Linked DNA regions of Tamandua tetradactyla. The protein of the gene in region 1 purifies or fractionates together with the protein of each later gene. This does not show direct contact. Links are inferred from orthologs where the notes say so. Each region holds a gene or a part of one and is shown in the gene's direction. Other genes may lie near its edges. The genes, in order: TUBA1A, TXNDC9, IRS4 and HAX1.

Evidence for each region.
Region 2: the proteins of TUBA1A (region 1) and TXNDC9 purify together in Homo sapiens (affinity purification with mass spectrometry; 3 studies listed by BioGRID and IntAct, counting the BioPlex papers as one, with this or other methods). This does not show direct contact. The link is inferred for Tamandua tetradactyla from reciprocal best matches to the Homo sapiens genes TUBA1A and TXNDC9.
Region 3: the proteins of TUBA1A (region 1) and IRS4 purify together in Homo sapiens (affinity purification with mass spectrometry; 3 studies listed by BioGRID and IntAct, with this or other methods). This does not show direct contact. The link is inferred for Tamandua tetradactyla from reciprocal best matches to the Homo sapiens genes TUBA1A and IRS4.
Region 4: the proteins of TUBA1A (region 1) and HAX1 purify together in Homo sapiens (affinity purification with mass spectrometry; 3 studies listed by BioGRID and IntAct, with this or other methods). This does not show direct contact. The link is inferred for Tamandua tetradactyla from reciprocal best matches to the Homo sapiens genes TUBA1A and HAX1.

The regions. Positions count from the first base shown.
Region 1 is NC_135333.1:110,096,271-110,104,066, reverse strand, and holds the start of TUBA1A (tubulin alpha-1A chain), read left to right. Parts: upstream 1-4,788; 5' UTR 4,789-4,933; coding exon 4,934-4,936; exon of another isoform or gene 4,937-5,106; intron 5,107-6,843; coding exon 6,844-7,066; intron 7,067-7,204; coding exon 7,205-7,353; intron 7,354-7,717; coding exon 7,718-7,796. UniProt on the Homo sapiens protein: Tubulin is the major constituent of microtubules, a cylinder consisting of laterally associated linear protofilaments composed of alpha- and beta-tubulin heterodimers.
Region 2 is NC_135343.1:4,925,730-4,933,185, reverse strand, and holds the start of TXNDC9 (thioredoxin domain-containing protein 9), read left to right. Parts: upstream 1-4,442; 5' UTR 4,443-4,573; exon of another isoform or gene 4,574-4,591; intron 4,592-4,686; exon of another isoform or gene 4,687-4,798; intron 4,799-4,807; exon of another isoform or gene 4,808-5,114; intron 5,115-6,606; 5' UTR 6,607-6,639; coding exon 6,640-6,828; intron 6,829-7,456. Other genes in the region: EIF5B (eukaryotic translation initiation factor 5B), read right to left, coding at 3,400-3,434. UniProt on the Homo sapiens protein: Significantly diminishes the chaperonin TCP1 complex ATPase activity, thus negatively impacts protein folding, including that of actin or tubulin.
Region 3 is NC_135353.1:62,443,971-62,451,191, forward strand, and holds the start of IRS4 (insulin receptor substrate 4), read left to right. Parts: upstream 1-4,220; 5' UTR 4,221-4,225; coding exon 4,226-7,221. UniProt on the Homo sapiens protein: Acts as an interface between multiple growth factor receptors possessing tyrosine kinase activity, such as insulin receptor, IGF1R and FGFR1, and a complex network of intracellular signaling molecules containing SH2 domains.
Region 4 is NC_135330.1:7,218,561-7,226,011, forward strand, and holds HAX1 (HCLS1-associated protein X-1), read left to right. Parts: upstream 1-4,435; 5' UTR 4,436-4,547; coding exon 4,548-4,600; intron 4,601-5,122; coding exon 5,123-5,379; intron 5,380-5,550; coding exon 5,551-5,738; intron 5,739-6,218; coding exon 6,219-6,270; intron 6,271-6,415; coding exon 6,416-6,522; intron 6,523-6,647; coding exon 6,648-6,738; intron 6,739-6,886; coding exon 6,887-6,966; 3' UTR 6,967-7,139; downstream 7,140-7,451. Other genes in the region: UBAP2L (ubiquitin-associated protein 2-like), read left to right, coding at 946-1,143, 1,559-1,609, 2,465-2,560. UniProt on the Homo sapiens protein: Recruits the Arp2/3 complex to the cell cortex and regulates reorganization of the cortical actin cytoskeleton via its interaction with KCNC3 and the Arp2/3 complex. Slows down the rate of inactivation of KCNC3 channels. Promotes GNA13-mediated cell migration.

The DNA.
Region 1 (7,796 bases):
AAATATTGAAATTATTCAAAGCACTTTCTCTGATAACAATGGGATGAAACTGGATCTCAAAAACCACAAAAGAATGAGAACATTCACAAATATATGGCGATTAAATAACACACTCTTAAATAACCAGTGGGTCAAAGAAGAAATTGCTAATCTAAATAGGTGGAAAGACATTCCCTGCTCATGGATAGGAAGGCTAAATATAGTTAAGATATCAATTCTCCCCAAATTTTCCCCATACAGTATTTATGAATCACAACCTGGCACCGTGGGATTAACAATTCCATCCTGACCAAAAGGGGGGAAAGAAGTGTAATTAATCAAGTACCAGTGGCAGAGAGTTCAAATAGAGTCGAGAGACTACTCTGTAGGTTGCTCTTATGCAAACTTCAGGTAGACCTTGCCACCTGTCATAATCTGCCAACCCCCAACCAGGACCATTCCAGCCAATCCTAAAGAACACCTAGGGCAATATATAAGATTCCACAAGGGTTCCAGGCATTAGAGTAACTTGCTAGAAACCTACAAACTCCAGATGTCAACGTCTGAAATATGTTCTACAACTAATTGTGCTGTTGTGCCTGGAAATTTATAGCTTTTTTGTATATATGTTATTGTTCACAAAAAAAGAAGGAAAAAAAATGTCGATTGTGATGATAAAAAAGTATTTAAGCCCGCTAGCCTCCTATATTCTGGAGCAGCTAGAAGGAAAAATATGAGAGTATCATATGGTAGCCCATGACAGACTCTGGGATCAATCCTGTAACCACTTTTTTGAAGAGTGCTTTGAAAACTATTGCTGTTTTATTTCTTTGCTTTGTGTATATGTTATATACTATACAATAAAAAAAGTTAAAAAAAAAAAAAAAACTAACTAATCCACAGCCATTGCACTGCTTTAAGCAGTGAAGTGACATGATCAAATATGTACTTTAATAAGATCACTGTGGCTGCTGGTGGGTGGGGGGTCTAGAAGTGAGAGGTGAATGTGCAGAAAATCTTCTAGGAGGTTACTGAAGTGACATGATCAAATATGTACTTTAATAAGATCACTGTGGCTGCTGGTGGGTGGGGGGTCTAGAAGTGAGAGGTGAATGTGCAGAAAATCTTCTAGGAGTTTACTGAGGTTATCCAGGCAAGAAAGGATGCACTAAATGGAAGCAATAAAGGCAGAGAGAAAAGAATACAATTTGAGAGTTATTTAATAGATAGACTTGACAGGGCTTAATGACAGATTCTGTGGTATTCATAAAAAGAGATGGAGGGGTCAAGAATAATTCTCAGGTTTCTATTTTTGAGAGATGGGGTGTATGCTGCTCCATTTACTGAGCAAGAGAACCTTGTAAGAAGTGCCTGTTTGGGAAGAAGACCACTAGTTTAGTTTAAGATATCTGTGAAATATCAAGCTAGAGGTTGGAAGTTTACTATATGATCTGGAGCTAAGAAGAGATGCTGAGAAATCATCAACATAAAAAAAGCATTTGATACCTTGAGAGTGAATGTGTTTATTCTAGGAATGTATGGGATCATCTATGGAACATGGAATAAAATGAAGAAAAGGCTAGAGTTGAACATTTAGAAATGTCAACATTTAAAGTTTAGAAAAAGGAGGTGGTACCAGTAAAGACAGCCAAAGATGTAGGAGGGAAACCAGGAAAACGCAGATGAAAGGAAGAAAATGTCTCAAGAAAGAGAAAATAGTTAATAGAAGCAAAGTTTATCAGAAGTCAACAAGAACAAAAATTTGTGCAGCGGATTTAACAACAAAAGTGGAGGACATTTGGTTTCAAGGGGAAATTGGAGCAGAATTCAGGTGGGAATGGATTTAGGTATGAACAGGAGGTGAAGAAATAGAAGAAAATGTGTTAGACAACTCTCTTGTTTCCTACATAAGTTATGATATATGGGACCTTGCAATGGAGTCTACAAATGTTCCATCACCCTACACATACAAAAGCATGTCAGTCTCAAGCCAATACACATGTACATGTCTTACTTCTTCAACTCGACTGGAAAATTTTTTTCCATTTTTCTAGGGAAAAATGTCTATGCAACTACTTCTGAATTCCCCACACTGGTGCTCACTGTAGATTCTCATAAATAGGTGTTGAATATAAAATGTAACATACTCTATTAAGACCTTTAAATTATTCACCACGATAATAGTAAATGAAATATGCACAGAGAGAAGCTGTCCATTTAATTATTTAATTCAAAGAATATGTAATTAATGTCTACTTATGCTAGACACTTTCCTAGGGACTAGGACTCACATTTTAATGGAGGAAAGGTACAGACATGCAAATAAATAAAACAAAATTCCACAAATACCTCAAAAGAGCAATATTTTATACTAATCTTACTATGTACAGGAACAAATCTATAACAGATTACTTTTACACGTAAACTGATGTCAGGAACTGGCAGTAAAAATAAGACGTGAACTAATAAAAAACATACTTTTTGCGTGCTATTAAGTCAGATAATGAGGAACAAAAAGAACAAATTAATTACTTCCCCATGCTGTTGCATTTTTATATTTAATAGATTACCAGTTGTCAAATAGTGTATTTCTGACCTATATCTTATTGTTACTTATGCCCAAGAGAAAAAAAAACACCTCATTTACATAAGACACAGAATGGCTCTGAGATAGAATTACAAAGAATCAGCTGCAGGAACCTCCTCTCTTTTATTCAATCTTCCGTAAACCGTATAAAGAACTGAGACTAATGCAGAAATGATATATTTCTTAACCTTTTCTATTGTAAAGAAAATAAAATTCAAGGCTGTGCCTCTCATTCCAAAAGGAAACTTATTCATTTTACCATAGTCTCGCCCTGTCTTATATCTTTCATCATTTAGATTTTGAAAGAAATGCGTAACTTATAAGTCTTTATGCTCCCCTCTACCATTTAATTCTTATTTTTGGTGGTTAAATGTAATTCTGGGTTCAGAAAGAAGCATATGGGATTCAAGCCATCCTTAATCCTTTCTCTTTATTGAAATATACTTTTATTTGCTAACGGGATAGAGATAAAATTATGTTGAGCAACATTTTCCTATGAAATATGTAAAAAGTAGATAAAATGACTTGTGTGCTGGGTTTTTTTGTTTTTGTTTTTGTTTTTAAGAGACGACTAGAACAAGTAAAACAGAGCTGTAGATGGTAGGTTGGGAAAATTCATGGCCGCCACTGACACACCACAACCTGCAGCAGCTGTCTCCTCTAGGCCCTCCCTCCTATAACCTGCTCTGCCTACCAGACAGGCAGGAATGAATGTGTTCTGCACAGCACTGTAAATGATGCTGCAGACCTTGAAAATCTGTTACCTAAAGGAAACATTATCTGCCTAAATACAGTTTTCCAACTTTAGTGGCAAAAAATAACCTCTTAAATTATGAAATTTCATCAGCCAAGTCAGGTTGGTACTCAGGCCAGAGACTTACTCTGCACTGCCCATCCTTGTTGATAATGGAAACTTTCTAAATAGCAAAAGAATGTTACTGTAATCCATTTCGTGGGGGGCGAATGCAAAGCCTTTTTTGTCCCCAGTGGGCAACTGAGCAACAACCAGAGCTTCTGGTTGAATAGCAACCGTGTGAGACTGATTGCAATTCCCACAGTTAGAAGCCAAATGCAGAAGAGGGTATTTATTGAACTCACATAAGAACTACATAAAAAAGAAATGCAGTTGTTGAGCTGACATTACAAAACAGTGAATGGAGGTAACACTTCAAGATGGTCTTCTCTTTACGTTACATATCTCCTCTTTTTAATTTGGTGTCTCAGTTATTATTTTTGCTTATTACGTTCCAAAAAAGAGAACAATGCAGAAATATAACCACACACACAGGTAGTTTAGCTTCTGAACTCAATTCTTTCTCCTTGTATTTTTTCAATTCTATATCAGGACAATGATTCATTTCTAGGGACAATATGCCACACAAAAAACATTACATAGATTTCTGGTAAAAGACTATTTCCAGTAGATTATTTCACTATTTATGTTAAATTCCAAATACTGCCAAGTTAACACTATTGTGCGCTGCCTTGTTAGTATGGTCATTCTTTCCTCCTTCATTTTTGTTCAGCTATGGGGGAAGGGGTGGAAACGAAGGTTTGAAAATAAAATACTTTCACCCAAGAAACCATTTGGAATGGCTCTATTACTGAATATTTTTAAAATGAAAAAAAAAAAACCCAGTTTACTGAAGCCATTTTAAGCATCACTCCCATCCTCTCTCCTACTTAATTTTTTTAAAAAAAACAAAAACAAAAACTTTGATTAGGGAACTTGTAGGTTTACCAAAAAAATCATGCACAAAAACACTGTATTCCCATATTCTCCTCCTTCCTTTTAAAAGCAATTAGGGATATTGAATCTTCGTTGAATATAGTCGATCTTAGTATACTATCAAGGAGAGATTGGGATTAATTTTCCATTAAATATTTCATCTCACATTCTGTGATTAAGTGTAGGAAAAAAAAAACCTCTATATGGTTGATTTTAACTGTAGCTTGACTGTGAAATATAAAATCATTCAACCCCACTCCTCTTTCCTCCCATTTCCCCCCGACCCCACCCCATCATGGATACACGGTTGACTCCTTTTCCTTGGTCTCTTTGTCTGAAGGATGCAAACAGTCTATGGATGCTGGGGGGAAACGGGTGGGGGAGAGATTACCTCATCCCATGTCGCTTGCACCAATCACCACTCTCTTGTTGTGGCTTCTCTGGGCAGACTGAGGGGTCTGGACCAACAGGAAAAGGCCCCGGTCCATTCCCATGGTGACCGAGTTGTATATAGGGAGCCGCATTCGCCCATGTGCCGTAGGTTCTCTTACATCGACCGCCTAAGAGTCGCGCTGTAAGAAGCAACAACCTCTCCTCCTCGTCTCCGCCATCTGTTCTGCAGCCGCCAAGGAGTAACCATGGTAAGTATCTATTTTCTCCGGCCCTCTGCGGCAGTTTGGTAAGATCAGATCTCCATTCTACTCGGAAAACCTTAAACTATTTTCCTTCGCAATCTCTTTGCTTTGTTTAAGAGGTTTAGCTCTAAGGCTGGCTGTCGCAGTGCCGGTGGGGGAGCCAAGCAAGAACTGCGCCCACAGCGCAGAGAAGGATGGGGGGGGGGGGGGAACAAAGGCGACGGGGAGGGAGCTTTTGTCACCCGAGCCCTACAGTACCGCAAACGGGCGAAATGCCGAGGCCTTCTGTCGAAGATGAAAAGGTCTGGGGCCGGAAAAAGGCGATCGTGGCGTCGCCTGCTTGTATGTCGGTGAATGTGCTCTTTTCTTTGTCGCTTCGTATTCCAGGAACAGGGAGGGGAGTTGTCTGAAAAGCAAAATTTTCAATTAATGCAAAAAGGTCTCTCGCGGATTCGTTGGTATACTAGGCAGACCCCCGAATAGTAACGGGATAAAATTGTTAGTTTCTGTTGGATCCCACCGCCGGCGGCGTAAGCGTGGCGCAGGGGCGGAGTTGTTTGTTTCTTGCTTCTCTAGCGTTGCAGCCACTGGGCGGGGTTCGCCCTCGTAAAAGGAGAAGACTTCTAACAAAAACTTTTAATCATTGCGAAACTGTAGGCGTTAAAAGGTTTTTCATTCACTGTTAAAACTTAGATGAAATATATTTTTCTTAAAAAGCAAAATCACAGTTCACTTTTGACAAGACCTTAAGTGTCTGGTCTGGGGATGCCGACGTGTGTGTGTCTGTGTGTCTGCGTGCGTCCGTCCTTCTGGGCTACGTTCACCGAGGGAGAAAGGCACTTTGTGAGCCAGGGCACTATAAGGCCAGAACTCAGGGAAACGCCCTTCCCCACCCCCACCCCCATACTAGACAATGAATAGACAATGAAAGTTGTCTTAAAGACATAGAGAAGAAAATCTACGGAATGTGATGAGTATGAAATATTCTGTAGTGGGTAGAGAATCTCAGAATTAAAATATTTTGTTGTTTTAAATAAATATTTCATTATCGTCTCACTGGGTTTTTATCCTTTGTTTGGTAGCTTCTCTTGTGTTACTTGTTTCCAATTTAGGAACTGCTGTTTTAAACATAATTTTTCAGGTTTTTTAAACTGGAGAAGATTCTGGAAAAAGCATTTTTTTAAGTAACTAAATTTCTGCAGACAAAGAAGACTGGATTATACTCTGAATCCAGATGTCTTTTGTTCTAGTGCCTTTTCATTAATTCATTTCAATTCGGGCACATTGGTCCCAGGCTGGGTCAGAGAAGGAAAACTGGCAAAACAGCACAATGAGATCATGTAGGCGGTTGCTGAAAATAGAGCTTGCTCTGTTAAATAATGTAGCAGACAGTACAAGTTAGCACCAGCACAGCAAATGCAGCAATGCAGCAATGCCAGGAGACTTTGTTTAGCTTCTCATCTCCTAGTATCCATGAATTCTGCAGATAGACTGCAGATGGGTGTGGCAGTTAGCCCCAGCTGCAGTGCAGATGTCAATGTTAGACATCAAGTCTCATTTAGGCAAAACCCTAATCTTTATTAGAAGGGGAAGGAAGCAGTGAATTCCAGTTAATTTAGCATTTAATTTAATTTACTTCATTTTACTAAGTCTATACTTCGTGTATTTTTAAATAAGAAAAATCTTTACTCAAGCATGACTGTGGGAACAATGGGTTTGTACCATGTGCTAAACAGGCACATTATCATTTGGACCACACCCATCTGCCGCAGTTGTAGCAGGTGCTTTTTCTTACTTATTTCTGTTATGTTAGGGATAAGACCTCAAAACTTTTTGAAGAATACCTGTATACTGAAAATTCAAAATGCTAATACAGCTTAACTTCACATTTTTTTCTTTTTCCCTTTGCACAGCGTGAGTGCATCTCCATCCATGTCGGCCAGGCTGGTGTCCAGATTGGCAATGCCTGCTGGGAGCTCTACTGCCTGGAACACGGCATCCAGCCCGATGGCCAGATGCCAAGTGACAAGACCATTGGCGGAGGAGATGACTCCTTCAACACCTTCTTCAGTGAGACAGGCGCCGGCAAGCATGTGCCCAGGGCAGTGTTTGTAGATCTGGAACCCACAGTCATTGGTGAGTGGAAGTCAGTAACCTGAGTGAGATTGCAGGGGTCTGGGACAGGTCTGTCCTGGACGCTCCATTTATGCCCCAGGGTTAAGTAGGCTTGTGCAGGTTGTTAATGATGGGTTGCGCTTTGCTTTCCTTTTCCAGATGAAGTCCGCACTGGCACCTACCGCCAGCTCTTCCACCCTGAGCAGCTCATCACAGGCAAGGAAGATGCTGCCAATAACTATGCCCGCGGGCACTACACCATTGGCAAGGAGATCATTGACCTGGTTCTGGACAGAATTCGCAAACTGGTATGTGTTTCTTCTCAAGAATACAGTAAAGTAATGAACCTAAGGAAGACATCTGAAATAAATGTTTTTTTCAAACACAACATTGAAATATAATAAAGAGATGAATTATTCCTTTAGGTTTTTTAAAAAACCCAGTTAAAACATGAATGATATGGTATCATTTTAAAAATATTAATGAAGATTTTTTAAATTAATAAATCCTGAGTAATTTCCTGAGTAATTTTAATTTCTACATTTAAAAAATGTTTATTGTCAAAGTAATATCTATATACTTGGAGATGTATGAAGAATGAAAATACATTTACTGTGCGTGTATCACAAAGAACAATAACTATCTTTTCCCTATTCTTCTCTTTTCTAACAGGCTGACCAGTGCACAGGTCTTCAGGGCTTCTTGGTTTTCCATAGCTTTGGTGGGGGAACCGGTTCTGGGTTCACCTCCC
Region 2 (7,456 bases), on another chromosome or scaffold:
TAGATACTCAGATTTAATAATAAAATCTAATTTTAAATGAACACTGTATGGCCAAGAAATTTAATAAAAGGATTAATTAAATACAAGGCTATACCATTGATTGTACACTTTGGATGAACTATACAGCATATGAAGATATCTCAATAAAAAAAATTTTTTTTAAATACAAGGCTATAGGATTAAGAACAGCTGAGTACTTTATTTTCTTTCCAAAAACTGAGATGTGGCTCAAAGCTTTATCTCTCTCTTGTTTTTTTTCTTTACCTGGGCAGGTACCGGGAATCGAACCCAGGTCCTCTGGCATGGCAGGCAAGCATTCTTGCCTGCTGAGCCACCATGGCCCGCCCTCAATGCTTTATCTTGATAACTAATAAGCAGCCGTTCATTTCACACACAGTTCAACCTGACCAGAAACAGTTGGCATAGGATCACATGAGAGAAGGCAACTAAGAATGACAGTAAAACCTTTAAAGTGAGGATCTTCATGAAAGATAGTAAAACCAGATAGAACATCCCATTTCATGCAAGCAAGATAAATCCTAAAATAGGACTTTCTCCTTCTAAACTTGTTTTCCATGTTGCATTCTTGTTTCTTTTACAAATATCATTTAACTACACGAAGTAAAAGCAAACTGATTTGGAAAACAGTGGAACTTTCTCCCCATCTCCCCAAAATATTTTCCGTAGAGTGCCAAAATAAAAAAGCCAAGCCGTTCTGGTCAAAGGGGCCCCTCTGCAAAATCCTACAATTTCTTAGATACAATTTGAAAGCCACTCAAGCAAAGAATTCTGGAAAGGAAAAGGAAGCAAAGAATTCTGGGAAGGGAAGGGAGGGGAGAAAAATACAATCTTCATATTGGCATATGAAAAAATATGTATGTTTTTCAATTACATTGCCACTACTTTCCCTTCAACATGAGCCAAAAAAATAAAGACTAGAGATTAGCATGTGTGCTGCGGATGAAGGGGGAAGTAGTATTCCTTCTCCACTATCAAATCAACCACTTGATACCGGCTACAGTGCCTGCAATTAAAACTTTACACCATGAAAAAGGTAGAATGGGCATAGCCCAAATATCCCTAAAGAGTGACAAAGATCAAAGGGAATGGTGGAGTTATAAAGAGAAGTAGGGTTTAATAAACGAGCAGACTGCTGAATCATTATATCGGTATTTCTTTAGTCTTCAATATCTTAGAACAGTTAAAAGTAAAAACCTAAAATTGTGGAAAGGCAACCCATACCAAACTGTGAAATGTGTTCTACAACTAATTATTGCTCTGTGCTTTGAAATTTATTGCTATTTTGTATATATGTCATTTTTCACGAACAAGAAAAAAAAAAGCCAATTGTGATGATAAGAAAGTATTTATTCCTTCTAGCCTCCAATGTTCTGGAGCAGCTAGAAGCAAAAATCCGAGATGAAGGTATGGTAGCACGTGACAAACTCTGTGATCTGTCCTGTAACTACTTGTTGAAGAGTACTTTGAAAACTACTGCTTTTTCTTTCTTTACTTTGTATATATGTTAATACAAAAAAAAAGTTAAAAAAAGATTTACACCACCTATGAAAACCAACGAATCATTAAGAAACACTACCTTTTCTCTAAAAATATACAAACAAGAATAACATCTTTTTTCCACTATGAAAAGGCATAATAAATAAAAAAATTCTGGAAAGTAGAATAACATATATGCACTTTTTATGCCACTAACTTCTGTAATCCTGATCCAAACCAATTAAAATACATACACACACAGAGTTCTCACCTGCCACACCAGAGACCCAGGTTCAATTCCCAGTGCCTGCCCATGCAAAAATAATAATAATATATATATATATTTATACACACACACATACACACACAAAATTGTGGGAAATTATTGAATAAATATTTGACGATATTTAAGAAATCATGTTTGTAATCCTAAGGCTTGATGAGACTGACTTTGTTTCATGTTTTTTTTAACTTTACTTTATCTTTCAGATACACCTGAAAAATCTACAGATGAAAAGATACTGAGAACTGCAAAATACCCAGCAGGTATATGAAACAAGGTTGGTTATGTACTAACAATGCTTGAAGTTGGGTAATATGTACATTTTTGTGTGTTTATTTGAAAATATCTCTCAGTAAGGGAAAAACAATCTTATGCGTCAAAAAAAAACCGCATCAAAACTACAGAAACTGTGTTTCTGGCTACTGTTTCTTATTCATCAGGTTTGATTATCAATAAGTCTATTCTCCAAACCAAATTAATTTTCTCCAATAAATCTATAACTGAGTTACAAAATTCACTTTAGTGTCTTTAATTCCACTCATTAGCTAGATGAGTGCCAAGTGAAGAAACAATCTAGAACTCCAACTTATAATTAGTACTTATCTGAGCTTCATGCCACATATCTATTTTGAGTCAGAATGATCAACTATTGGGATTATTTTCTTTTACCTTCTCTCCCTCTTGTATCTGAACTGTTTGATAGATAGGGTACAAAGGGGAAAAGTACCAGATGTTGTTCATTCCCACGAAGTAAACTCTTTCAAAGAAAAGGGTTCAAGGACTCAGTCGAATGTGACATAGATGTTTTAAGATTCTCCTGGTTAAGTAATTCTACGTACTCCCCTTACACTCCCTCCTCCAAAAAAGCCTTCATGTGGTTAGAAAGGAACGACCCTGGTTGGTCTAGTTCATCTACTCCTCCTCTCTTAGGGGAGGTGCTAGAGAGCAAAGAAACGACCAAAAGACAGGCCGGAAGAAGGAAAGCGAAAAGCACGGAGTTTGGACAATCAGCCCTGAGATAATTGATAACTATACCCAAATTAGATGAAGTTAAGAAAGAGTAGGCTGATAAACGCCTCTCTAACGCCGACATTCTTGACAACTCACAGTGCCGAAAAACTCGGAGGCACATATAACAGCTTGGGAGTCCCTTCCCATCCAAGTATTCACAGGTACAAAGGCTTAACCAGAATTCTTCCCGGCCCGCGCTGTGGAGAAGGAAGGAGCTCACATCCTTTCCAGAAGCAGCTCCGCAAAAGTAACTCCCGCCCGCCCGAGCCAGGTTGGCCCGGTCGCCCGAGACCCTCCCCGCGCGGCTGGGAACCCCCAAACGACTGCCCCTTTCCGAAGGCCAAGCGGCGCCTGCTGGGGACCCCTCTCCCCAGGCCGGGCGAGGGCAGGTGGGGCAGAGACCGGGCGGGGAAGACCAGCCCGCCGTCGAGGCCCTCCGCGCCCGTCCGGGACCCGCGCCGCCCACGCTGGGCCCAGGCCCGACGCCCCACGAGAGTCTCGCCGCGAGTCCCACGCCCGCACCCAGCCCCCACCCCCACCTCCGGCGGGACTCGCGAGTCCCAGTCAGCCGCGGGGGCCGCCGCCGTACCGACCCAGACAGTGGCTACCTGTCTTCACTCTTGTTTTTCTGCTTCTTCCCCATCGCGTGTCAGCGACGCTCGTGGCCTTGCCCCCTTTATCCGGTTTCTCGCGGACCCACTGCGCCCCGGCCGACTCTGGTGTCCACTCAGCTTCGTCCCCGCGAAGCTGCCGCCCCTCGCACCCGGCTCTCCACAGACCCGCGCACTGGGACAGGGCACATATGGTGTGAGTGCCCAATGCGCATGCGCGTCGCCCCGCCGCTTCGGCGTGGGGACGCAGCGCGCGGCTCATCGAGAGTGGCGCTCGGGGTAGAGCGTCTCCAGTTGGCCGCCGGACCGCCGGGAGTCCGCGCGCCCCCTGCCCGTCGATGCCTCGGGTTCTAGAACCGCGGGCCGGATAATGAGGCTGTCAGTCCCGCGTCAGCCCTCGCTCCTCGGGAAAAGCCACCGGGATTTAGCACTCGGTTCAGAGGAGGACTTCGGGCTTCTCTTCCACCTTTCACCCTCCTCGAAGGAGCCGAGAATGGGCTCTGGATGTTCCCGAGGGATACGAAATTCCAGCCCAAAATCGGGGCCGCTTCCAATGCCCATTGGTTAGGAAATACGCAGTCACTAAAGAAATCATGAGGCGAGGACGTGCCCACCAATTTACCCCGAGAAAGGTTTCGATCTTTATATGCAAAGCAAGTTCTCGTGGTAGGGAAGTCACGAAGGAACGTTCCGTGACCCGATCTGGGCTGCTGTACCACAGGGTTATGTAGGTGCAAGTCATATTGCGCCACCTAAGTGATGCCTCCACTGTTCAATAAACTGAATGGAAACGAACTTTGAGGCTCACTCTTGAGCAAGATCGAGACTACCTCATTTCTGACGTAGTGCTATAATGAGTACTTGGGCAGGGCGTGAGGTCGGACACTCAGGGTTGGGGACCCGGCGGCTACGGGGCGCACAGCAGACAGCCTCGTCAGCACGCCTTTCCTTGGACCCAGGCGAAAAGCAGCAAACAGGCTGGGAAGGGCGCGCATGCGCAAAGGCGCTCTCCGCCCGCTCTGCCGCCTCGGGCGTTTCAGGATGTATCGCGAGAGGGCTACAGCCAATGAGGAGGAGGGGGCGCCGGCCGGCTTGCAGCCACCCCCTCGGTGTGCGAGGGTGAATCCCGGCAGGGACCCTTTTCCGAAGCGGCTGCTCCGTCCCGCCTCAGGTATTACCGAGAGCTCAGGTGAGGCGGGGAGTGGCGTGGGAAACCCGCCACCGCGTCCCGACGCTGACGGACGCATCACCGTCCAACATCCGGCCGGCGCGGGGGAGGGGCGCGGCCGGACGCGGGGATCGGGGCGGCCGCGGAGGTTTTGGCGCGTGCGCCGGGGCACAGTTGAAGTGCTGAGGGCTGTGCCTGGGTCCGGCCCGTGGGGCCTGGCGTGCATTTGTGAGTGAGGCCCCTTTGTTGTTTTGGAGGTACCCACGGGAGTCAAGGAAATGGTTAGGTCATTGGAAGACTCGCGGTGTTGCTTCCCACCCTCCTCCTTTTGAGCGTAAAAAAGGGAAGAAGCGGAGGTTGGTGAAGAATGAAGTTAACGCGACCGCTACGCCGTCTCCTTTGACCTCCTCTTTCTGAGTGCGGCGACCACCGCCACCTGCCTCCAGAACAGCTCTTGTTAATCGTCTCTGTTCCTAGTTATCCCAGAATTAAATTCTGGGCTCATCCTGTGAAACTCCAGGGATGAGTGTGCGCCATGCCCCGAGTAAGAACAGGTTCTGATGTGCAAATCAGCGCCTTCATACAATCTTCTGGCTCATCTAGATCAGCTCCAGCGTTGCAGTGTGACTGACGGTTTTCTTCGGAAGTGTGTGTGTGTGTGTGTGTGTGTGTGTGTGTGTGTGTGTGTGTGAGTGGAATTCTTTTCTTGTATTTGAAACAGCTCCTTTTCAATTTTATAGCATTTATGGGACGCTTTCAAATTGGTTTTCTAACTTGATATTTGTGACAGTTTGAGCAGAAGCTAGGCACTTGTCCATTCAACATTAAATAGTTATTGAGCATCTACTATGTTCCAGGCCCTGTACAAGTAGCTCTGGGGATACAGAGATGAATTCAAGTGTATTTTTCATCTGCTTTTCCTGTAAGGAAAAAGAAAATTACAAGTAAAGTTTGCAAGGACAGTATTTCTCTTCAGTTTAACAAAATTTAAGGCGTCTCTGTAGGCCAGGCTCTCTGTCAGAGGTTGAGTGAGTTCGGTTTATTCACATTTTTTATGGTGCTTCAATCAAGTTTACAAATGTATCAGTTTGCACGAACTCCTGCTTTGATAGGCAAATTGTAAAACCTATCTTCATGGCAGTTAGCCCAGGAATTCAACTAAATAACATTGTTACTGGTAGAAAATAACATTTCTCTTAAAATATTTGAGATCTTCCTTTCTAATCTGAATTAATTGTTGGAAGCAGACAAATTTTTTTACTATTTTACCCAGAGGACTAACAATGGAAAATCAGTTTTTTTTAATATCTGTAGTGCTGTATTGTTTTACATCAAAGTTAAGAACACTGAGTGTCAGTAAATCAATACCTCTATCAGTTTTTGCGGCCTCATAGATTGTGTTAGGTAAGGGGAAAATAGAAATGGAAATAACACGCATTGTAATGAGATCTTCTAGGAGGTAAAGAAACTAAATTCGTTTGGGTAGAGACCATAAAAAACTCTCCATTTTGCTCGACTCTGTGCTGTGTTGAATCAAATTGGTATGCCTGGGAATGTGTAAACCTCAGTACAAATATGTTATTTCACAGTGATTTCTGCTTTACTTTCCTTTTCCTTTGGTAAGGAAAACTGATTGTCAGTAAATACCACTAGCTATAATTCCAGCTATTAATTTCTCTCTGGTCTGGTGATTGTCTTGAATACTAGCATTTGCCTTTTTTTTTGCCATGGGTAGGCACCAGGAACGAGAACTCTGCCACTGACCTGCCATGGCCCACCCTTGTATTTGCTTTAGTATAGCAAAACACAAATTAAGTCAGAAGATCCTAAATTTTGCTATAAGTAGTTTTTTGATTATATGACTGTAACGTATTAAAAATTTTAATTTAAAATTCTTAAGTTTAACCTGATGTGTATGGGTGTCAGCAGAATACTCTGCAGTACAAGTATATATATGCTTGCTAGAATTTTTGAGAATGGGAGAGAAGACTTTGTGTATTTATATTATTTTTTTCTAATTTTGTAAATCTTCCCAGCCCCAGGGCTGAATTGTACCATTTAGAAGAAGAATGGAAGGCGATGCATCTGTTGGCATGCTTTCAAAAGTCCTGGAGAATCAGTTGCTTCAGACTACCAAACTAGTGGAAGAACATCTGGATTCTGAAATTCAGAAACTGGATCAGATGGATGAGGATGAATTGGAACGCCTCAAAGAAAAGAGACTTGAAGCACTAAGGAAAGCTCAACAGCAAAAACAAGTAACCTCTCTGCCCTGCTTTCTGAAATTGCTATAACAGTATGCTCCTAAAAATTATATATACATGTGCTGCAGCAGTTAAATTCGGTCCTCTTTTTTAGGGTCTTTGAATTGAAAGTACCTACTGCTATTAAAAATTTGCTAAAAAAAAGAAAAAAGTTCTAAAGACACATTCAAAAATTAATCTAGTCAATTTATTAAACCACAGTTGAGTGAAAGAGAAGTTTCCTACCCAAGATCATTTTCTGAGCTCAGATTTGTTTGGTTGAGGAGAGAGTAAATCAGGAAGAGCACTGAGAACACTAGGAGTCGGCAGTTTCCATTTCAGGTAGAACTAATGTCTGTCATAATTTAGCTAGCTTCAGTGTAGGAATGGTGCATGAGATAAGAGCTATGGGGCAATTCATGTTGAAGAAATTATTTCAAACATTTCCAGTGTAACATTTATATGTGATCTCTTTATTCAAGGGAATGCATGCTGGGCACCAAGAAAAATAGCCACAGCTCTATCCCTGTTGTTCTCCTAGAGTGTATAGAACAGACTCATAGTTGTATGCTTACAGAAAAAATATGCACAAAATACGGGGTTCCCATATACTACCCTATTATTAAAAGAAATACTTTTTTTT
Region 3 (7,221 bases), on another chromosome or scaffold:
CACATTTGGGGCATATTTCTTCAATAAATGGTATCTGTTTTAAAGATATTGCGGCTGTTTAAAATATTACATTAGTTTCTAGGTGTAAAATACCAGCGGTAATGGTTGAGGGTTTTTTTCCCCTCAACTAACATGGGAAACTAAGAAACACTGTAGGTTTTATTACCACTTATCTGTTGCTTTAAAAATTTGCATTTCAGACCATAGGCTCAGAGACCAAACTTTATAGAAGTTATAATTGGATATGTAAAACTACTTTAGTGCTAGGATAACTTGTCTTAAAAATAAAAATAAAAAATTAAGAGACAGATATCTATAACCAAAGTAGAGGAACTATCTGCTGAGGTCAAGCCAAATACAGTCAGCATATTTTGCCTGAACTGTCTAGATTTTGCCTATGGAAACCTGAACTAAACTAAAAATTATTTTATACCATTAAGGTGTCCAGGAATATGAATGTTTAAATATACATCAGATAAGCTGTATCATCTGGTGCAATTCAGTAATGATGGTCTCCTCCAGAGAGTTTCAGTGTTGGAACAACTTTTATAACTGAGGTTTGGTTGAACTCTGTGAAGGAAATTATGTTCTTCTGGCCAGATGCTCTCCCTGCTCACAAGTACTCAGATCCTCTCACATTCTGGAAAACATATAAAGTAAAATCCCTCAATGAAACATCTCACTATACCTCTAATTCCATTGAGGTACAAAGTGATCGGCACTGCTAATCTTTTGTTGTATTAAAATATATATATATTCTAGCAGTTAACGTCATACTTCTTTTTTAATGCACTGATTCACACTACTTGTTTCCCCCTAGTGTAGAGAATGTCCTATAAAATACTGTTTAAGTGTGCTACATAAAATTTACCTAGTTTGAATGCCCCCTTATAAATTGTTGATACAAGAGAACTAAGTTAGTTCTCTCTCTAAAAGGGCATATAAGCTTAAATATATGGAAATCATAGAAGAAATTTAGAAGTATCTTGGTGACATTTGCTTATATCAACAGTTCCTTTTTAATTTGCGCTACAAACCTCATTGTGGTTTACACATCTTTCAAAACAGAGGGAAAATCAGGCTTAAATGTGGTATTTTTCACCAAGAGACTGGGAAAAACTTGCAACAAATATGATGAAGCTTTAATATCTTTATTATGTAAACAAATCATACATATTAATAAGAAACTAAAATTCAATAGATAAAGCAAAGGACATAAAAAGACAGCTTATAGAACACAGAATATTGTCTGCAAATTTATATGAAAACGTTCATCTACCTAGTTAAAAAAAAAACAATTTAAAAGAACAATGGTGTAGCATTTCACCCATCTTATCTATGAGTTTTTTTTAGAAAAATAAGCTTGTCCAGTGCTGGCAATGGGTATTGTGACATGGTAAACTGATACAATATTTTAGAAAAATAATTCATCAAATGTTCATACCTTTTAACAAAGGAATTACACACCTCAATTTCTGCCCCAAGGAGTAATTCTAAGTGCATGCACTTGCAAAAAATTGTAAGTAGAAGAACTTCACTGAATCATTATTTATAACATTGAAAAAAAAGAAAACCTAAATACCTCAAAGTAGAGGGATGCTTAAGTACATTAATTCACATTCGCTATAAGGAATGTTATGATACATTTTGAATGATTTTTAGGCTGAGCCATAATAGGTGGAAATGTTATGATAAGTGAAAACAGAATATAAAATTATATATATTGGAAGCCTACCACTATACATAAAAACTCTATATGCACAGAAATGAATAGGATATGAAGATTTTTAAATCTCTATTTTCAGGATTTTCCAAATTTTATGTAACATGCATTGTAAATATTTTTCAACATATTTTTAAATGCCATGTTTTTACTTGAAGTACGTTCTTTTCTTTTCCACATTTCTATCTAAAATAAAATCCTGTGCTCAGAAGGACTTATAATACACATTAATACCTACCATAAAAATCCCAAATGATTTTATTCATTATCTTTTGGTTATAAATGCAGGGAACATTCTATGTATGTGAGTAGGCAACTGAAACATGCAGGTAGCAGCCCCAGGCAGTGCACTCAGCATCCACACCCTTCAGCTTTCATCCCCTGCACCTATGAATATACTGTGGGGATAAATTGGTGGCAGCAGAGGGAATGTTAATGTTTTTTTCTAATTTAAATATAATATTTCGGGGACAATCAAAACCAATTGTTTTTTTCTCAAATGGGAACAATAAAAAGGAACCTTTCTTTTGGGGTATAAACTATACTGTTAGAGTGGAATTTACAGCATTCAATATTTATGTTCTAAAATAAGAAAAGATAAAAAATGACATCGTAAAGTTTCAAAAAAAAGAAAAAGAAAAAGGAGCAATTTTTCCAAATACATTTGCTTTAACAGCAAATTCTTAAGGGAGCAGGGATGGGGTATACTTTTGTGATGCACACATTGCCTAGTTTACTGTTAAATTTTACAAATAATACCCTTTGCAGCATCTACCCTACGGCAAGGGTGAACTGATATTCCATTTCTTTAGAATACGATATACCATATGTCTCCGTTCCTCCCTCAAACCTCCCTTTCAAATGCGGTCATTCCTTTGACACTTCAATGTAATCTTGACCCATCTCCGCCCAAAGGAAGCTGAAATCACAGCAAGACAAACTGAGAAACAGACAGAAAACTTGAGGAGGCTGCACTTACACTCCAGTTGTTTTTCCAGAAATAAGGGAGGAAGTAGTGCTTTTTTTGTGGTCTCAGATTGTAGACTGAAATTCTCTTCTTGACGCGAAGAATATGAAATATATTCTAGGATACGTATTCGGTTTGGCCCTTTGTTCTAGGTAGGAGCTTTTCTTTTTCTAAAGTTTCTTCGGGCTCTCTCAAGGAAAGGGCAACTTAATGTCTTGAGATTCTTTTAAAGGAGACTTTCAAAACATCTCCCACGGGGAAATAATCACGACAGCGCAAGATTGGTGAATTTCAGTAAAAATCGAGTCCGATTTTTTTCAACATGGCTGTATACTTCTCAGGTCCCCAAATTTGTGCCTTCATAGCCATCATTAATCAAAAAGTCAGAAACACCATCGTTTGCGAACCTGCGTTTCATGGGCTAGAAATGTGCTCTGAGAAGAAAAATATGCTCATTTTGAAGGCATCTCTGTTTTTTGAGTGCATTAGAGTCGCGCAGGCTTTTGTCACGGATGGAGCGGGTTTGGGAGCGCAGGCAGCCTGGTGGGCGGCAGGTCTGAGGGCCGGAGTCATTAACACATTTGCAGGGGGTACCGACACGCTCTCTCAGCACACTCGGCCAGCCGCGCGTGGAGGGTGGGAGTGGACCAGACCGTGACAGAAACAGAAACTTTATGTGAGCTGCACAGAGACAAAGAGGACGCCGGGCTCGGTCCACCGGTTACCGCAGCTAGCTCTAGGATGTGCGGTTTTATCACTACCATTAGCAGCTACTTGTGAAGGGCTGTTTACCGCCTGAGCGGAGCCCACGCTAGAACCCAAGTCACACCCACTCACCCCTCAACTCCCCTCCCGCCCCCTGAACTAATGAATTCAGGGCCGCCTTCTTCCAGACCCTCCCATTGGTTCTCATCCTAACCAATCGGAGCCCTGCAACAGTTACACCTGGCTCCTGCTTCCCAAATAAACAAACAAACCTTCCCGCGACCGCGCTAGTTCAGCTCCATGGCGCCGCCAGCAGCGCTCGCGCTTAGCCCCTACCGCCGCCTAATGCCCCCTCCAGCCAATCGCGCCCCGTCGGCGGCTCCCCTACCGGGACGCTACAGCTGCTCACGGCTCTCTCATCCTCCCGTCCCTCGACCCTCTCCCGCCCCCTGGTGCCTTCGTGACCTTCTCTTTACGACCAGCGTGTTCTGAGAGTTTTACCTACTCCCGTCGGTCCTTCCGCGCCCGCCGGCCCGGAGATTCACCTAAAGCGCCCTGGCCTGGCTGGAGGCAGCCCCGCCGCTCCCTCCCTCTCACACCTCCACAGACAGGGTAGCGCCCCTCCACAAGGCGGGTGGCACGAGCCGCAGCTGCCGCCGCGTGAGGCCGTGGTCACGTGTTGTTTTGCCCGCCTCAGCGCTCTAGGAGTGCAGTGGGCGGGGGCGCAGCGGAGTAGGGAGGGGGCTGGGGCAGGCGAACGGGGGAGTCGGCCTCTTCTCCAAGCCCCCGCCACCTCCCCCTCGCTCACCTTAAAACCGTCGTGCATCACCATGGCGAGTTGCTTCTTTGCTCGCTACCAAGCAACTAGGAGTCTGAGAGCTGCAGCAGCGGCAGAAGCAGCAGCTCTAGCAGAGGTGGCGACCACCCTGCTTCTTTCCTCAGAAATCCCGACCGCACTCATTGGGACCGGGCCGTCTTGTCCGGGAGCCATGTGGCTCTCCTTAGCCACTGGTTCCCGATCAGATTCGGAGTCTGAGGAGGACGACCTCCCCGTCGGGAACGAAATCTGCAAGCGCGGCTACCTGCGGAAGCAGAAGCATGGACATAGGCGCTACTTCGTGCTCAGACTCGAGACCGCTGATGCCCCAGCAAGGCTGGAATACTACGAAAATGCCAGGAAGTTCCGGCACAGTGTCCGCGTAGCGGCCGCCGCAGCAGCGGCGGCCGCCTCAGGCGCCGCGGTCCCCGCGCTCATCCCTCCACGGCGCGTGATCATCCTGTACCAGTGCTTCTCGGTGAGCCAGCGAGCCGACGCAAGGTATCGACATCTCATTGCCCTTTTCACCCAGGACGAATACTTCGCTATGGTCGCTGAGAACGAGTCGGAGCAGGAGAGCTGGTACTTGCTGCTCAGCCGCCTCATCCTAGAGAGCAAGCTCCGCCGCTGCGGCACACCCGGCGCACAGCCGGACCGAGAGCCTTCAGTGCCGGCGGCGGCGGCAGCGACGGCGGAGCTACCCTTCTACAAAGATGTGTGGCAGGTAGTAGTAAAACCCAGGGGGCTGGGGCATAGAAAAGAGCTGAGCGGCGTGTTCCGGCTATGCCTTACCGACGAGGAGGTAGTGTTTGTAAGGCTGAACACCGAAGTGGCCAGTGTGGTCGTCCAGCTCCTAAGCATCCGTCGCTGCGGACACTCGGAACAGTATTTCTTCTTGGAAATTGGTAGATCCACCGTCATCGGTCCGGGGGAGCTCTGGATGCAGGTAGATGACTGTGTGGTGGCCCAAAACATGCACGAACTGTTTTTGGAGAAGATGAGAGCCTTGTGTGCAGATGAATACAGAGCCCGCTGCCGCAGCTACAGCATCAACTTTGGCACCCACCTGTTAACACTGCTGTCCGCTAGGAGGCACCTGGACTTGCGTCCATTCGAGTCCGGTGGCTGGCTCAGAAGGTCCCGCTTTGAAGAGTTTTCCCACGTTGGGGCCATTGGTGACGGGGAAGACGAGATGCTCCTCACCAGGCCCTTCATATCAACCAACGAGCCTGTGCACCCCTCGAGGCGAGGAAGACTGCACCTGCCCAGAGTGCGCAGGTCCAGGAGAGCTATTTCATTGCCAGCCAACTGTTTACGCCACTTAGTACCCAGCCAGGTGCGTGTGGCGAATCCTGCAGAAACCCTGAATAACGGATCTTGCCTGATTTCTGAAGCACCTGGCTCTGGCAACTGTGGGGAGAAGGGCAGTTCTCAGGGCAAGGAAGATCAGCAAGGACGTGCAGGGGACTATATGCCCATGAACAGTTGGGGCTCAGGAAATGGCCAGGGCTCCAGTAGCCAGAGCTCAGGAGGAAACCAGTGTTCCAGCAGGGGGCAGAGGGCCAGAGGGGGCCAGAGCTCAAGTGGCAGCCAGGGTTCAAGTAGCCAGGGCGCCAGAGGAAACCAATGCTCAGGAGATGGTCAGGGCACCGCAGGTGGCTATGGCTCAGGCAGTAGTCAGGGAGCTGGAGGTGGCCATGGCTCAGGTAGTGGCCAAGGGCCTGGAGGTGGCCGTGGCTCAGGTGGTGGTAAGGGCTCTGGAGAGTGCAAGGGATCAGGAAATGGGAAAGGTTCAGATGGCAATAGTGAACGTGGAAAGTCTCTGAAGAAAAGATCCTACTTTGGCAAATTAACTCAAAGCAAGCAACAGCAAATGTTACCACCTCCACCACCCCCAACACCTGGGGCAGCTGTTGGAAAAGGGAAGTCTGGGGGAAGGTTCCGATTTTATTTTTGTGCCGACAGAGGAGCCACGAAAGAACGCAAAGAAGTCAGAGAGGTGGAGACACCAGAAGGTGCAGCTCGTTGTCCTCACAGAGCCAGCACGTTTGAAGAAGATGAGGATGACCCCTATGTGCTAATGAGGCCAGGGGTTGCTGCCCCTCTCGCAAGCTCCAGTGATTATATGCCAATGGCTCCTCGAAATGTCTGTGCTTCAAAAAAGTGCCACTCTCGATCACCTTTTGAAGATTCCAGAGGGTACATGATGATGTTTCCCAGAGTGAGTCTACCACCTGCCCCAAGCCCTCCAAAAGCACCTGATCCTAATAAAGAAGATGAATCGAAGGACAACGACAGTGACAGTGACTACATGTTTATGGCTCCTGGAGCTGGTGCAATTCCAAAAAACCCTCGAAATCCTCAAGGTGGCTCTTCCTCCAAAAGTTGGAGCTCCTACTTCTCCCTGCCAAATCCTTTTCAGAGTTCTCCCTTGGGACAGAGTGAGTACAGTGATTATGTACCAATGTCACCTGGAAAATTCCTGGGAAGGGGCCTAGACAAAGAAGCCTCACCTAATGGGGGGCCCAAAGGTGCACATTCAGAGCCTTCAGTTGAGGGGTCGTTCCCAAAGCCAGGAAATGGGGGGGCACCTTCAAAACCTTCAGATGATGTGCCCCCAAAGAACAAGGCTAAGAGACCTAACAGACTTACTTTCATTATGAAAGGAAATAAAATCAAGCCCAAACCCCAAAAGCCTATACTTGAGCAGAGAGAAGCAGACAGCTCTAGTGACTATGTCAACATTGACTTCACTATAAATTACAACAATATTGCAGGTCCCACTACTCAAGGACCGCCAGATTCGTGGGGTAGAATTGCTAACACCAGACAGTCAGCCTTTTCTAATTATGTGAATGTACAATTTGGAGTGCCATTTCCAAATCCAGTAAACGACCTCTCATATCTTTTAAGAGTTATTCCAGGTGCCAACCCCCAATTTCTGGACGGTGCTAGGTGGCCACTTCCTCCTCTTCCTCCCAGTGCTTCAGGGAGCAATGCTAATGAGGC
Region 4 (7,451 bases), on another chromosome or scaffold:
TTGGCTGGAATGGTCCTGGTTGGGGGTTGGCAGGTTATGATAGGTAGCAGTGTCTAACTGAAGCTTGCGTAAGAGCAACCTCCAGAGTAGCTGCTCTCTGCCACTGATACTTTATTAGTTACACTTCTTTTCCCCCTTTTGGTTGGGATGAAATTGTAAATAGGTTTTTAATATTTTTATATTTAAATTATATTTAGATTTAATTAAAGTTTTTAATTTTTAATTTTTTTTTGTATGCTGAACGGCGAGGGTCTGCAACTGTTCTTGCCCTTTCCTTTACTTTCCTATTCTCCCAACCCTTCTCATAACTTTCTGAGAGAATGAGTATGGAATGAAAGGAAACTATTTCATCCCATTCTTTGTGAGTAAATAATAAAACTAAAGAGTGGGGAAGAAGACAACTCAGTAATTAAAGAACGAGGCATTAGAGTTATCCACAGGTGGTCTTATTTGTATTGCTTTTTATTCCCCATCATCATAAATATTAAAAGATTGATATAAAGTAATAGGGGTTTAGGGGAGAGCTTCATGGCCAAGACCCTCAATACTTAAAACACCTCAGTTTGTACTCATTTTGAAATATTAACAGGAATTCTAATTTTACCCAACTGCAGAGGTGGAGTTGTTAAAAGCAGTCAGTACATTTCATTATGTTCATATAGAGCATTAGATTTTGAGAAATGTTTTTACTTCCATCCTCATTTGAACCTTACAACCAAAACTTTAGTAGACCAATAGCATCCTCATTTTATGTTTTGCGAAATTGAGTAATTTGCCCAGGAATCATGCTGCTATTAAGGGCAGAGCTGGGACTTTGATTTCAGATGCATTGTTCCTTGTATAACATGAATGCTGCTTTCTTGGGGTTGGGGAGCTTGGGCTTAGAGATTCCAAGCATAAATTTGCTGATCCCTTTTACTCTCTCTCCTCCATTCTCCTGGATAGCAGTCCTTTGAGAAACAAGGTTTTCATTCCGGTACTCCTGCTGCCTCCTTCAACTTGCCTTCAGCCCTAGGAAGTGGGGGGCCCATCAACCCGGCCACAGCTGCTGCCTACCCACCTGCCCCCTTTATGCACATTCTGACCCCCCATCAGCAGCCACACTCCCAGATCCTTCACCATCACCTGCAGCAGGATGGCCAGGTAATAACCCTTCCCCCTTACTCCTTTCCCTTCCTTTTCCTTCCTATCCCTTAAAACTGCCTCCCCTTTCCTTCTCTTACCCTTCCTCACCACCACCTTCACCCAGTCCCTCCCCAGCGCCAGCCATGGGCACACAGCACATACAGACTCAAGCGCACATAACACAAGCGGCCGGCAAAGGAGATGTCAGAGAAGGGGCCAGATTGAAACCTTTTTTGTTCAGTTCCATTGGTGCCTTTCTCTACCTCCTCCCATGGCACAATTGTCCTCATCCCATCAGACCTGGGTCACACCTCCCCTCCTACCTCTCCCAGCCTTCCCCCTTGCCCCAACATTATAGCTTTCCCTTCTAATGGTAGAGTTCTATTGTCAAAGTTTGTCCCTTTATTTTCCATATATCCTGGTTCTGCCTCAGCTACCATATTTGCAGATGATTCTCTGTTGCCAGCGCCAGCAGGAGGAGCAGGTAATGAAACTGAATGATAATATGCTTGAACCCACTCCCTTTCAGTCCCCATTTCATCTTTGCAACCTCAGGGAACTTGAAGAGAAAAGAGATTGCGCGGTCACAAATCGGGATACACAAACACAAACACCTTGCTGAGCTCTCTGGCCTCCCCTTCCTCTTTCCTTTCCTCCCTCAGCACCCTCTTTTTCTTCTACACCCTGATCCAGTTCTGGTATACACTTGATTACTGGAATGGAAAGGATTCTTGGGTCAGCATCTAGAGCCCTGAGACTTCAGACTCTCTTTCCTACCTTGCCTGAAAAGGGAAGGGCTCACAGATGTGACTTATGGTAGGGATGGGGAGCTGTGGGATGGTGTAAAAGACCTCTCCTCCATTGTAGGTGATTGAGGAGCTAGATTAGGGGCTTTCTTGCCTCCATAGACAGCTTTCCAAATAGAGGCATTCATGGAGGAGATCAGTGTAAATGAAATCAACTAGTGATCATTCATCTCCGAGAGGCTGTAATTCTCTGTAGAAAAGAGTAGCCTTTTCCCAGAGCAGGGGCGGCTGATGGGATGAGGGAGGTGGTATTGAAAATAAGTAGAACTGATTCACCATCTCATTTCCAAAGGTATCTTGCCCTCTTTTCATCTTTTCACTATTTAAAGGCTGAAAGTGCCTTTGTGCTGGTCAGAGAGGGGATCTAACCACTCGGAGGATCAGAACTTTCCATGGTTGGGCTTCAGAGTAGCCTCTAAGCAAGGGGAATGGGAGCGTAAGACAACTTCCACATCTCCATGTGAAGATCTCACAGACTTGTCCCACTAACTAGACACCTTTTTCCTCCCCATGATCCTCCCATTCCCCTGCAGACGGGCAGCGGGCAACGTAGCCAGACCAGCTCCATCCCGCAGAAGCCCCAGACCAACAAGTCTGCCTACAACAGCTACAGCTGGGGGGCCAACTGAGGCCCTGACCCTCTTCTCCTGGCCCCATCTTCTGAGAGGGCTTCTCAGCCTGGCAACTATGGAAACAGCATCAAAGAGAAAAAGGAATGTTGGGGGATTCTGCTGCCCCCCACCCCCAGCGGAGCTCCCCATGCCTCAGCTTCATGTCTGTCCCATTCCCATACCATCCCCACCCTGTTGTATGTATTATAGGATTTGTATTTTTTCCTTTTTTTTTTTTTTCTCCTTCCTTTCCTCTTCCTCCTCTTCCCCACTACCCCATGCATTCAAGATTATGAAACTCTGCTGTGGGCCCTGCCCTTCCTTCTCCTCCTCCTGTTCACCCTGGTGGTGTGTGGGTGAGATGGGGAGGTGGGACCCCCAAATATATATCAGCCCAACAGCCCTAAGTCTCCTCCTTTATTATTAGGAAAACAAAACAACAACAACAAAAAAAAAACGGCGTCATGAATATGAACAGCATTGTCAGATGAATTCGTTGAAGTGTTTTTTTTTGTTTTTTTTTTTTTTGTTTTTTTTTTTGTACTGTGTCCTCAAATTTAATGGATTAATGTGTCTTGTATATATAAAAAGAAAACCTCTACCTTCAGCCTCTGCCCATTCTTGCTCCGTCTAGGATATCCTCAGTCTCGTCGATGACCAGCTTGGTGAATAAGTGTTACTGTACCAACTCGGCCTTCTCTAGCAGGCCCTCAAAGGCAGTGGAATAAAATGAAATCTTCGCCCTTCTCTGACCTTAATGTGCTAGTGTCTTGCCCTTGCGGGGTTCCCTTCCTTTAATCCTTAAGAGTCTTACAGCCTGGTGCCTGGAAAGAAGCACCACAACTTTTCATTCCCTCCAGAAACTGATACATCTACAACAGATTTCAAGCAGTGAGGGAGAGGAATAGAGGAGATTGGGTGATGAGGGAAAGACGTAAGGAGGAGCTGAGACTGTTTCAAAGGAATGACTTTGTGGGGTCAAAATATGCAGGGGTCCAAGCAAACTGAAAGAAGTGAGGGTAACATGTACTGTTGGCTTTCAGAACTTAAGCTTTGGGTCCATTACCGTTAAGGGAAGAACATAGTAATTCTTCCTTCTTGAGTGCTTTGGTGTTGCATAGCTATACCCAGTCCCCTGAAAAGGAACCCAGAACAAGGCAGGGGGTGGAGGTTGGAGTGAGGGATGAAGACAGGCTCTGAAAGTAGTCTATGATATGAAAAAGAGAATACTTAAAACCTCAAATTCTTTCTTTACTCCTTCACTACCTTTCCTTCCAGTGTTCTTTTACGAATCCTGTATTCTGCTGGCTTCGGAGCCTATTTCAGAAAATTAATATTTTATAACATTCCCTGGTGGTTGGTGGAATTGAGAAATTATAAATCTATGTATCCTTATGCCTTTTATCTATTTAATTGTGGGTAATTCGATGCGAGAAGGGGCTTGATAAAACCTTTTATCTACCCACTATATTAGACAACCCAGGTCAGTAAAAAAATAGGTTGAAGGACTGAGGTGGCTTCTGGATGTGGTGAGCCAGGGGTGAGGGACATGCGCACATAGGTTCAATTTGGGCGTTTGCGCTGCCCTCTGGCGGCTTTATCCAAATAAAATCCAATCAAACTCTCGAAGCATCTTTTTGGACTGGGCTGGTAAGCGGAAAGAAGATACAGCTTAGAAGGGAGATGATAATTGGAAAATAAAAATTCGAAATAGGATAATTCCGGAATTGGATAATTGGGGGGAAAATATGTCCACTACCTTCAAACTTGTCTGTGAAAGATGATCAAGGGAAAGCCTTTTGAGATTGAGGAGGATCGGCTGTCCGCCCCGCCTTCTCGTCCACGTCGTTTTACGTCCTTTATCGCCCTTTTACGACAACATGCCCGGGCCACAGGTTTGCTTTCTGGCAGCCTGGTCTGACTCGCTTTCCGGTAGCGTAGTGCGGCTGGATCCCGGTGTAATGAGCTGCCGGCGGGTGTTCAAGGCTTGTATTCTTAAGCGGGAATGAGTGTCTTTGACCTGTTCCGGGGCATTTTCGGATTTTCTGGACCTCGGAGGTGAGAGTGGGTCGGGTCGGATAAGGGGATTCTTCTGAGGCGAGCTTGACTCCTAACACCCAACCTTTTGGAAAAACCCTCTTCCCATTCCTGCTGAGAGGACGAAAGTCGCAGCATACAGCACTCACCCCACGACAGTAATCAAGGCGGTCGTTAAGAGGAGAAGAAACAGCACTTCTTTTTCCAACCTGGGGTGATGCAACAGGGGTCCGAGCGGGGAAGACAGTGGAGGTCTAGAAGTAAAGACAAGGAGCCAGTGAGCAGGACCTTGGGAGAGAGGGGAGGGTCTGGGGAACACTGGAGAAAAGGCAGTGAGGGCTTGGGGAGAGCCGCGAGATTGAGGACTGACTTTGATAAAAACTAAAAAACAAAAACTGTCAGCTGTCATGTTTTGGTTTGACAGCCAGCCCTCTCCCCAACCTACCAGATCCTTCTTGCCCTACTTTGCCACCCATGAGTTGATTAAAGGCTAAACACTTGATGATACTAAAATCTTGCTGGCCAATCTACCTCCACCCCCAGCCACAGAGATCCCTTTTTTGGCGGGATGACCCGAGATGAAGATGAGGATGATGAGGAAGAGGAAGAAGGAGGAGACACTTGGAGCCATGGAAGCTCCAGGTTTGGGGTTCCCCATCCCCCTGAGGAATTTGGCTTTGGCTTCAGCCCAGGAGGAGGAATACGTTTCCATGATAACTTCGGCTTTAATGACCTAATACGGGATTTCAATAGCATCTTCAGCGAAATGGGGGCCTGGACCTTGCCTTCCCGCTCTCCTGGTGTGTGAATACTCCTAAGGGAGAACTCATGGGTTCTAGTGGGTTGGTGGGCAATGTAAGAAACGTTCAGGGAGTAGCTGGGGGATGAGAAGTGTGAGAAGATAACTTCAGGAAGTTTAAAGAGCCCACGTCCTTTCACCTGCCCAGCATTGATCTGTCACCTTTCTGCAGAACTTCCAGGTCCTGAGTCAGAGACCCATGGTGAGAGATGGCAGGGGGGAGAGACGCTTCGGGACTCAATGCTTAAGTATCCAGATAGTCACCAGTCCAGGATTTTAGGGGGGGTCTTGGAGAGTGGCGCAGGAACTGAATCCCCCAAATCAACACCAGACTGGGGATTCCAGAGACCTTTTCATAGGGTGAGTACCACATCTAGACTTGAAGTGAGAGCCTGTGAAAGACTTTAAGTAGAGTGCAAAGACTGGAATCTTTGTTGGAAACTGATAGATTTGGGTTGGAATTCTGGGCTCTCCACTGAGTGTGCTTATCTGTTTTGTATATTGAATTTCTTATAAGAATTTTTTTTCGTGGAGGGGGGGCAGGGAATGGAAGTTCTGTCTCTTAAAAAAAATTTTTTTTAAATAATCAGTCCAGGTAATTACTGGATAAGGCAAGATTGTGGGAGGAGGATCAGAAAGTGTCAGTTCAGGAAAGCTTCTTGGTAGAGGGTTACATAAAAGAAAGCTAGGAAGGAGGGGGGGTGGGTAAATCGAGCTAGCCTGAATGGAATTCTTTCTCCTGGGAAAGATGGTTTTAGAACTTTGGAGTAGTTTAGGGCCATGATCCTTCAAATTTTAGGTAGAAAGGTGTCTTTTCACCTACTGTGACTTCTTCCACAGTTTGATAATATGTGGCCTGTGACCCCACATCCTAGAGCCAAAGAGGACAATGGTGAGTCTGGAGGGAGGAGGCATTGACCAGCCCTCTCTTGTTGTCTCAGAGTTCTCTCTGTTGTCCCTTCTGAACTTATTGCTGTACTTCTACTCTTCTTTCCCTCGGACTCTTTTCCCCTGTTTCTTCATCTCTGTTTTTTCAGATCTTGATTCGCAGGTTTCCCAGGAGGGCCTTGGCCCAGTTCTGCAACCCCAGCCAAAATCATACTTCAAGAGCTTCTCTGTGACCAAGATCACTAAGCCAGACGGGGTGAGTTGGGAGAGAGGGGTAGAGGGAAACTGTGTCCAGAGGATGCTCTGGAGACAGGAATTTGTGTAAAGAAACTACTGAACTCACTTTTAGTGACATGAGGGGTGTTGGGGGACTCCTTGTAGACAGTGGAGGAGCGCCGGACTGTGGTAGACAGTGAGGGCCGGTCCAAGACCACAGTAACCCATCAAGAAGGAGACGGCAGTCCTAGATATGGTAAGTGAAGTGCATGAATCAAGAGGTTCATCTCTTAATTCCCCGGGTAAGGGAAACCCTTGTTCTCCTGCCCTTTAATGGTGTTCCTCTCCGTTGCCCCTGCACGGACTCGCTCACTTAGCCTATCTGTGTGTATGTATTCTTCCAGAATTGCCAGGACCTCCAGCCCTAGATGATGCTTCTTCCATCTTGGATTTATTCCTTGGACGTTGGTTCCGGTTCCGGTAGCCTTGTAACCCTCAGAGGCCTTCTTTCCTTACTACATCCCACCTGTTGCTCACCAATAATGGGCTGAGCTTCTCCTGCCATACAGAGGGCTGGGGGTTGTGGAACAGTGAATTGGGGTTATGTCAGTATACTTCTCACCCAGACTGACCAATAAAACCTTTATTTGTGCTAGATCCTTGGCTTTGTTTTGTGGAGGTTGTCTTACTTTCTAGCACACCTAGGACTTCCCAAATTATCTTGACTTGCAACCTCCTTATTGTGTGTTAGAGAAAAATATAATGAGCACAAACAGTAATAGATATTTTTCTCCTTTAAAAAGTTTTTAGTCCATCAATGAGTAAACAAAATGTTACATGTACACTGCGTTGTACTATTATTCTGCCGTAGGACAGAATGAAGTTCTGAGAAATGCTGCAACGTGGAAGGACCTTGAAAACATGCGCAGTGAAATAAACATGACACATAAGGGCAAATATTATATGATG